Linked DNA regions of Arabidopsis thaliana. The protein of the gene in region 2 interacts with the protein of the main gene of each other region in a biochemical or structural test. Each region holds a gene or a part of one and is shown on either strand. Other genes may lie near its edges. The genes, in order: TCP2 and AS2.

Region 1 (5,144 bases), on a different chromosome or scaffold from region 2:
AAGTAAAACAACTTTACTCTAAATCCCAAAACCACACAAAAGTTGAAAGTTTTCTAATAAACAACTAAAAGAATGAATTTAATAATACTTTGTCTAGTACCCTAAAAGATGGGTTAGCCATGTGGGTGCAGAAGATCAAGTAGCCCATGAAAGAAAAAGTTAAAAAAACTTATAATAATATAAACAGATCATAAGAAATAAAATCATGAAAATTTGGGAATAGCCATTGTTGAAGACAACAGCTGTCAAATGAAGAAGATATATTCATAAGATAGATAGATTATAAAAACAATACATATGGAGAGAGATGATGCTAAGGAAGAAGGGAACCAAACATAGAGCACAACAGGAGACAATTCATTTTGATTTTCACTCTCTTCAATGCATAATGGCCTTACCCTCAATTTTTCAGTTTTGTCTATCAAAATTATTTATTTCCCTGATTATTATGTATATTTTCTTTCTTTCTATTTTTATTTACAAGTTTTTTTTTGTCTCTTCACTTAATTTCTGTATTTTTTATTTTTTTGGGAAAATTCTTAATTTCTGTATTTAATTCTTCTGAGTATTTGATTTGATTCAATCTAGTACCTTAAAAGGATCGCCCTATTGCCTTGACCTACCATTTGTTCATGAATACCAAGAAACAGTATCTTCGTACTATAAACAATTTACTAAAGAAAAAAAAAATGCTAACTATACCAATTACATGGCAAAAATAACATTCAAAAATTCAATTATAAACTCACAAACAAAATGCTATTATCACAAATACAACATTACAAGCACAATGCAAAAAGATTTCCAAAGACCCTCAATACATAAAACAAAACCCTAACACACATCAGACAACGAAAGAGATTAACATTTGTTTTGAAATAAACCAAAGATAAACATACAAAATGAGCATTTGAACAAAACCAAAGATGCAATAATTAATATCATCAGTTCTTGCCTTTACCCTTATGTTCTGATGAGTTTCTGCATCCATTTTCATAGTAAAGCTGAAACTGGTGATTGTGGTGGTGATTCTCTGCAGGCAGTGCACCGAATAAGAACTGTGGACCTCCTCCACTTTCTGATGTTGGAAACCTCTGTAGATTAGCGAGGAATGACTGATGCTGATTTGTTGAATTGGACTGAAGGGTCCCCCTGTTGAAACCACTGAAGCCACCACCTGATGCGGCGGAGACGGCAGCTCCGGCGCCGGAGGGTGTTGACATATTAAAATCAAGATTGAATGCTCCGCCGTTGGATTCTGCCGGTGATATCAAATGGTCGGGAACGAATGAAAACTCTTGATGCTGATGATGAGGATGATGATGATGATGATCGGAGATTGATGAGAAAGGATGAGAATTTGTTGAAATAGGGAAATGGGTTTGTTGACCCGACCCGAGAATTAAACCCGAACTGAAATACTCCATTGGAGATGAAGAAGGAGCTGAAGCCATCCATTGCCGGTTTGAGTTAACCGGATCTGAACCGGAATTTAACAAATCCGTAAACGAAGTGTGGTTATGATCTCTTTCCTTGGTCTCTTTAGCTGTTCTCTCTCTAGCCCTCTCTCTAGCTTTATCTCTAAGCTCCGATCTTGATAAAGACAAACCAGAAGAGTTCTTGCTCGTGTCTGAATTGCTACTACAAGCAGATTTAGACAAGGAATTAGCAGCAACTGTTGTTAATGTCTGATTCTGGTGATTCTCGTCATCGGTCGGAAAATGAGTGTTGTTGAGTGAAGGAAGCTCAGAGATTGAATCTTCAGCAGCTTTGATTAACCATTCAACAGCTTTGCTAGGTTGATCATAACCTAACCGATCTTGAAGATCATAGAATTGAAGAGCGGTGGAGACTGATAACCGGACACGACGGTCACGTGGTCCTTTAGAAGTCAAGACTTTGCTGTGTCGATCTTTACCACCGGAAGCTCGTGAAACCCTAATTATCCGGGAAGAATTGTGATGCCACCGGCTTAACCGGTTGTTCACTTCGTTATCCACAACGTCGCCATTGTTGTTATTCTTCATTAGATCTCCAATCATTTCATCATCACCAATAATCTCATCACTAAAGAAAAAAAATTAGGGTTTTGTTTTTTTTTGGTTACCCCCAAAATTAAAAATCAAAACTTTAGGGTTGGTTTGGGATTTAAAGAAGGAGAAAAAAATGGGTTTTTGTTTTTGTTTTGTTTACCCACTGTACTTTGTAAGCATTGATGATGAATACCCTCAGAGGAAAAACCAAAAGAAGAAAAAAAATGTGTTTTTTTTTAAAATTAATTTAGGGTTTTTGATATTTCACCATCAAAGTCAGTAGATACAGCTTCGTATAAGCTTTGTCTGCAGCTGCTGTTGTTTGTTGCAGAGAGTCATCAAAAGCACTGTGTCTGAAATGATTTTTAACCACAAGCCTGCAATAACAAAAACAAAGAAACAATCTCATAAGAACAAATCTTTACACATATATATATACATAAATGCTTATATATATATATATATATGTTACATCCTTATCGACTTTTTCTACAGATGACTTTCATTCATATATACACATAATTAAGATATCAGTTATTCTGATTCGAATTTATGCTCTACTCATTGTAGATCTGACATATCACAACAATTGATAAAACGGGTTTAAAGTTAATGATCGTGATTAAAGAAGAAGGAGCTAGAAGAAGAATCAGAAGCTATGATAAATAATTAAGCTGAATCAACTGCTTTCGGCTGAAGCGATTATCAATGGAGGGCTTTAAAGAGTAAGAAGACAAAAAATGCAGAAATCGAGTTTTAAGCTTTTCTTCTCTATATAAAGATTTTGGTGTTTCTAATTATGAAAGAAAAAGAGTTGTTTCATAGTAACCAACAAGAAGATTAAATCAATTTAAAAATTCTTAAAAAGGAATCATTATTGATGTGTTCTGGATTCTATGCAGATCACAGGTGTCAAGCTCTTGGCTTTGAGATTATATGAAACCAAAATTTTAAAGCAAATTAAAGGAACAAATACACTTCTTTCTACAGTGAAATTCTCATCAAGAAATAAAAATCTTAGATCTAGAATTGTTTTTTTGGAATCAGAATTAAGTATAAACACGAAATTCAGATTCTTTCTATGAAAAAGATTGGTTTTTGTTTGTTTCTCGGAAAATTCGATGAGATAAATTGAGACTTACAGAAGAAACAGAGGAGCTTGAGCTTGGAGTTAGTAGTAGTAGGTGACGAAGAAAGAGGGCTATAGGGTTTTAGGGATTTGTATATAAGAAATAAAAATCCGAGAAAATTGGAATTTCTTTGATGGTGATTTTAAAGGAGTGATCATCAGATGGGGAGAGAGATATTGGGCATAAACTTTGATTTTATTTCCATTTTTGCCCTTCATTACATTACTTATTCACGGAATTGCCACGGTCCTCTACAAAATATCTGTATTAAATTATCATCCTCAGTAATTTGATTTCAGGTGAGAAAAATTATTTGATATTTTCGTTTGTTTTTGGCAATAAAAACACAAGAAAATATTTAAAGAAGTTTTTTTTGGCAGCTATTATATCAAGAAGTTGTGAACATAAATGCTATAGAAATGTTAGAAACAAATCAATGCGTGAATATGAGAAATCATATTATCTCATGTCACATGTATATTTATGTAGGAGAGGAGAACAAACAAAAAAACAATTCACTTTGTCCAAGTGTCCTTAGGATTTTAGTTTGTTCATAGAAATAGAATTCGATTAATACTCAATAATCTACTCTATGATATGTTTCGATCATAAAAAATGCTACATGTTTTATGTTTTCAAAATAGGTTTGGTCTATCATTCTTTACATGTAAAGCTCATGGTTTTCCACCAATTCCTTCGGAACATAGATTTAGATAGATAAAAGATTCATACCGCAATATAAACATATCTCTCATTCTCAAGCTAGTTTTCCAAGTTTTTATCTACTTGCTTTAAAAAAGGAACTCTCGCGGTCTCGCCTACACTCTTAGTCTTTTTGTTCTCCGACATGATTAATATTGTATATTCAGAACATTTTGCAGAGTAAACTCGACCCTCTCTCTTGAGCATAAAGCTCGAATCCTTCCTCTGTTTTTTTATTATCTATTTGGTTTGAGGTCTTTTAATTTTAGATATGTGAGTAAATTATTTATATTTTGTTTATGTGTTTAAAGTTTGCTTATGTTAATGAAATTTTTTTATAAAAAAATGCTACATGGAAATATATATACTGTCCGTATCATAACAATGTTAATTGTTATTTACCAAAAAAATATCTTTATTACGATAAAAACTTATACTATGAATCTTAGAAATTAGAAAAATTGTAACTATTATGTGTGAATTTCAAAAATTAATCAAATGAAAAATATGTCGTCAACGACCTTTTTAACTAAATTATCGTATAGGTCTTAGTCAGCCATTGCTCGGGTTCAAATTTGAAAAGTTTGGGATTTTATATAGAACAAAAAAAATAAAAATTTTATATGAGAAAATGTCTAAATTTAGCAGTTTTTATGATATTTTTCTATTTTTAACCATAACATGTACTAGCCTAATAAAAATATAAAAACAAATTTTATTTTGGAGACAATGCAAAACAATTATCAAAGTAAGCACATAATCCAAGCAAATATCTAAAAATTAAACAAACTATTTTAAAGTAGAAATAACTAAATTTCCGGGATAATGATATTTAAGGAAGAATGAAAACTATTTTAAAACCTATACATTTCTTTTCCACCTAACAAATCATATTGATAAAGAAATCCAAACCCCTATTTTAATAACTTACACTATGTCAATCCCACATCACATCACTAGAACTTCATGGAAAAAACACGCACAATTTAATTCAAGAATTAGTACAAATCGTTTGCAATTTTAATAATCTAGTAGTATTTTTTTAGTCAAGTGGTATTACACCATACTCTATTAACTTTAATAAGTACAGATTAGTTATTAGTTAATGTGGTTTGTGGAATTCAATAACTGCGATTAAGAACAAATGACGAAAAAGGGAAAGAAGTAGAGCAAGTGGTTCACGACGGTCTCGAGAGCACGTGTCGCTGTCTTAACGGACACTTGCTCACTTCTCGATCACTGTTGCCTTTACCAGACCACTGCACGTGTCTGCTTCTTG
Region 2 (5,259 bases):
ATAGTAAAATAAGGAACTAGTAACTTTATCAAAAAAAACTAAATTAGTTGATGTGACAATTAGTATTTACAACAACAATAAATAGAGTCATCATAAATAGATGAAGGAGACTTTTTAATTAGAGAGAAAGCCTAGAAAGAGCTAGTGGGTATAATTCGCCCGGAGATAAGATGTTTCATGTTCATGTTATATTCCGTTAAGCCTCTTCTTACATCAAATCTTATCCTTGACGCTGACAGTGTTCCACATCAAACCTCTTTTCTTGCAAATATCATTTATATAAATATGTCAATTTTAAATGTTTTTAATAGTTTTCCTTTATTATTTAATTTTAAAATTTGAACTACAAAAAAAATAAAAGGAAAACACTATAATACATTTATCTACATGGTATACACTATATTTCATATTCATAATTTTTACTAATAATGTTTTTTAAATACTTAAGAAGTCTAACATTAACCATTAAAATCACTCAATGATTAACTGAATTTAGGTCTATATTCTTGCTGGAGGTACATATGCGGATCAATAGACTCGACATATTTGGAAATAATATACTCTATAATGCAAGTATGTGATATCAATTAAGAGAGCAAGTCCATAAAATTTGAAAGAAATACAAAAGTGACTATCATAATATATCTAAGTAATAATAATAATAAAAACCGAAATTAATGTCATTAAGAGAGACGTACCATACGTTTAAAATATTTTGGTTTTCCACATCAAATATTTTCTTAAAATTATAGTTTTCTCATCACCAAGCGATCGACGAAGATGAACACCACCAAAACCCTAAAATCTCAAGACGGATCAACAGTACGGCGACCATCATCTCCAGCGGCGGCTCTCGGCTGCTGAAACTGAGTGATCTGTCCAATGGCAAGAATCCCACCGTCGTAGTTGTTACCGGCCGGAACATCCAAGCCACCAAACATTTGTTCTCTAGGAAAAAACTGGTGGTGGTGATAGTGGTCTCTCACGGCGGTGGCTGTTCCATCTGCTGCTCCGGCGAGTAAGTTGATGCCAAGACTCTGATGAGTGGCGGCGAGGATACCGAGGCTTTGGTACTTAGAGAGCTCAGATTTAGCACAGCTGAGATCTATCTGAAGCTGACGAAGCTGATGTTGGAGGAGAGAGATGACGCCGACGCAGCCGTAGACAGGGTCACGGAGGCGCATGTCGGCTTCATAGGCCAAAGAGTTCACTGCGTCTTCACGTTGTGAAGGGTGAAGCTCGTTGAGGAGCTTTGTCACGTTACTTGCTCCAAACACTTTGTGAACGTTTGCGAATTTTTGTGGCTGGTCCGGTGGGAAATAGGGCGCGAATACACATTCCGGTTGACATTTTCGCCGGAGGAATTTGCAAGCGGCGCATGGTGAGTTTGTTGAAGAAGATGCCATTTTAATGACTTGAAAATGGAGTTTTTCAATTTTTTCTCTTTTCCCTCTCCCTACACAAAGCCGCCATTGAAAATTGAGAGAAATAAGGGTTTTTGAATTTAGTTTTTGGAGGTAGAAGGTATAAGGAAACAAAAAAAGATATTATGAAATCAATTGTGATTTTGGAGATATTACATTATCTGTTTTTGTAATCAAATATGAAATTAAGTGAGAAAATAAAGAAAGAAATAATGTAGAGAAGTTGCTCAATCTTTATTGTTGTCAATTAAAAAAAAAAAAAAGTTGTTCAATCTCTATAGAATAAGAAAGCTTTTACCTGCGAGTAAATTAAAGAAGCCTTTCTTTGAATAATGGCTTCTGTTGCTCAGAGGGGAAATAAAAGAAGATCCTCTCTGCTTTCTTTAAGCTGCTATTTGGGGTTGCATACAAAAAGCTGTAAAATAAGAGAAACTTTGCAATTAGTAGTATTAAAGATATTTGGTGAGCTATATATGCACATACACTACACACACACATAAGTGTATATGTATACTTATATATACTGATCCAACCTTCTTGTCAACTGTTGAAAGCAAATAGAGGAAAAAATGAGTAACATGAAGGTGCTTTTCGAAAGTCAAACATAAAGGTATGCATCCAAATATATAATATATGCTTGGGAGATAAAAGATCATTTCAGACCTAGAGATATGTGTAGCTATATGATATAGAGGAACTTGTAGCTATATGATTGCTAGTCAAATTTTGGTAACTAGACCTAAGAGTCTAGAGACAACCTGAGAGATTTAAAATCATTATAAAAACAAATTAAAAAGAGATGGAAATTTGTACCGTGTAGTTGGAATGCGTATGGATGGATTAACGAAATATAGGGAACAAAACAGATGGGATCAATGGTGTTCTTTGTGTTGCTTATAGGTAGGTATGAGAGAGGGAAGAAGAAGAGAGAAGAGAAGGAAGAAGATGTAATTAATTACTAAAAAGCAAAAGATTGGATCTCGTGAAGAAGAAGAGACTTTTGGGTTTTGAGGCTCTCGATGGGCAAAGCTCATCTTGTGCTTAAATTTCCTATTATATTAGTATTTTATAAGAAAATGAGCTAATAAATATGATAAGACTAGTACTAATTAATGTTATTTATTTTTAATATATATACTTAACTAAATAAATAACTATAGAGTATACCTTCAATAGTAATAGGATTTGGTACTAGAGGGAATTGATTTCCATGTGAAGAAGTTGCGAGTTTCTAAGGAGAAGAAGGGATATTGGGATGAACCCTTGGACCCTAGCATAGACTCTAACAACAATAATAACAATAAATGTATAGTTATTAGTATTAAATTTCAAAATAAAAAAGTATCTAGAAAGAAAAAAAAGGAAATAAATGTGAAAAGGAGAGATGGGAAATGAGAGATGGGGTCTGACTCTGACTCTCCTGATGGATCTTGGGATGAAGAATTTTGCTCTTTTTATTCTTATTCTTTTTGTCTAGGGATTTACATACAGTAACCAAGCATTTTGTTATTACTATTATTATACTCTCTACTAGTAATTCGCATTAATATTATATGATACGGTTTGACAAAAGCTAAAATATAAATACAGTCGAAAAGTTGATAATGAAGTTACCGTCCTCAAAGTTTCTTCGGTCAAACCCATTTTTTCATGTTTCTTTATACCAAAATCCATAAGAATCTACTGCCACTTTCTTTCTTCTCTTCTCTCTCTTTCTCTAATTACAATATATAATATTATATTAGGATCATGCAAGTGTCTTTATTTTTGACTCGCTAGTTTTACGCAAAGTAAGAAAGAAAAAAAATAGAAAAGAAAATAAGTGAAAGAAAAGAGGAAGGCATAGAAAGATGATGAGTTTAGGATCAGTACTCCCTAAGGTGTAGGGAGATAGAAAGAGAAAATCGCCCAGATGCAGAGGCTAAGGAAACGGAGAGAAAGAACAACTTTTATGGTGTGTCGATATATAGAGATAGAGAGAGAGTGAGTGATCACGGACTCTGTCTTTCTTCTCTATATATATCTTCATACTTTCCTCTACGGGAAAATTAGGAGATATACCATGAAACTTGTTTATATAATGATACCTACTTTGTTTTTGGAGTTTAAAAGATAACCCATGATTAGTAACCCTATGAGATTAATGTTACTGGGACATTAGTAATTTTTAAGATGAGGTTATAGTATTTTTTGTTTATGCATTTTTAGTTTGAATTTCCAAATGTGAAGGGAATAGAAAAACATTAATGGAAGTTTTGTATCGAACTGTTGAGAAAGGGGTTAGAGACAGTGGCACCGTTTCTTAGATGCTTTAGGTTTTTAGACATTTTGGTGTTAATAATTGAAGTTACATTCTCAAGACACAAGACTTTGTATATAGTTCTGCATTTTGTTGTATATCTTAAAAATCCTCGAAAATGTTATTATCAGAAATGGATACTTGTTTTTAGTTGGTTTCATAAAGTGTGCCATTTTTGTATAACAACAATACAACCATAATTCAAGTTCATTTTTACTAGTAACTACAGTACTTTTTTTTATGAATCTGAAACCTCAACCAACAGAGCCAAATTCAACCAATACAACAACTACAATAAATGTGTACATTTACCTTATGTACTAGCAGAAATATTCTAAAACTTTGGGTTAAGCGATTGTCAAGGTTTTAAACTCTCTTTTTTCACTACTAGTTCTCCTTTCTTGGTAACAAATGTCAAGTTAAGCAAATTTAAACACTCGATTAAGTAATCAGAACCGAAATTTAGTTGGTCTCTACGATTAGGTCATCACTTTTTACGTACGACCTAACCTAACGAAGAAGCGTGCAAAGAGAAAAAAGAATGGTTATCATGATCATATAACATTTAAAACATTAGTCAATTTGGAGAGAGAACAAGAATGGGAAATGAATAGAAGCAAGTGGGTCGTGGTTGCATATTGCATTGTTGTAATTACTGTTGGAGCAGAGTCTGCAACACTATTTACTCGTACCCATTTTCAAACGACAACCATTCCTTTTATTTATATATTTATTCATTACTTTTGAAATAAAACTATTCATGTCTTCATGTTCTTTGTCTTCTTCCTTCGTTTATAACAATGGGTCCAAAAATCATAGAATTCACACCATATGGATGGTTACACTCCTTCTCTCCAATTAATATTCATAATAAGTATGTTTGGCTGATATCGTTTTCATATTTTTCCATTATTATATATACATTGCGTCTTCTTCTAAAACTAGTTTGGATTTAAATTACAATGTTTTCCACATTTCGGGCCCTACTTACAAGCTTTTTAGTATATAAGTAATAAGTTTACGATTAAGTAAAATCATCTCCAATTTTGAAAATGTTACCTGAACAATCAAGTATAGAAAGTAAGACTAAAATAGTAAAACCAAATACTTCTAAGAATTGTTACACTAGAATAGTTACACTATAACAGTTAATGGAGCTATCCACTTTTGACTAGTCTTGCGGATATATAAACATCTTTATTCAGATAACTCATGGTGACATAAAAAGATTAAAAAAGTTTATTTGATAAACTAAGTATTTGAAACAAAACATTATTTTAACACTTTTAACAGAATTCTAACTTATAACTGACTATATTGATAGTGAGTACATTATCACAATCCTCTATACATATTTTAGGGTTCCTCATTCAAGTATGAGGTTTCTAATACATTTTACTTGGGATAATGGTTCTTTTAGCAATTCATCTCGACATAAGTTAGATCGAATTTCTGTTACGTGAAGAAAACAAAATTTGCTTACATAATCTCTCAACTGAAAAATCCTTGGAACAAAATAAACAGTTTGTGAAGGGT

Evidence for each region.
Region 1: the proteins of AS2 (region 2) and TCP2 form a complex in vitro, tested with the Arabidopsis thaliana proteins (one study listed by BioGRID).

Annotation. Positions count from the first base shown.
Region 1 is NC_003075.7:10,162,268-10,167,411, forward strand, and holds TCP2 (TEOSINTE BRANCHED 1, cycloidea and PCF transcription factor 2), read right to left. Parts: upstream 3,317-5,144; 5' UTR 3,176-3,316; intron 2,411-3,175; 5' UTR 2,043-2,410; coding exon 945-2,042; 3' UTR 655-944; downstream 1-654. UniProt on the Arabidopsis thaliana protein: Plays a pivotal role in the control of morphogenesis of shoot organs by negatively regulating the expression of boundary-specific genes such as CUC genes, probably through the induction of miRNA (e.g. miR164). Participates in ovule development.
Region 2 is NC_003070.9:24,396,293-24,401,551, reverse strand, and holds AS2 (Lateral organ boundaries (LOB) domain family protein), read right to left. Parts: upstream 3,410-5,259; 5' UTR 3,039-3,409; exon of another isoform or gene 2,238-3,038; intron 2,235-2,237; exon of another isoform or gene 1,840-2,234; 5' UTR 1,723-1,839; intron 1,457-1,722; 5' UTR 1,407-1,456; coding exon 807-1,406; 3' UTR 566-806; downstream 1-565. UniProt on the Arabidopsis thaliana protein: Negative regulator of cell proliferation in the adaxial side of leaves. Regulates the formation of a symmetric lamina and the establishment of venation.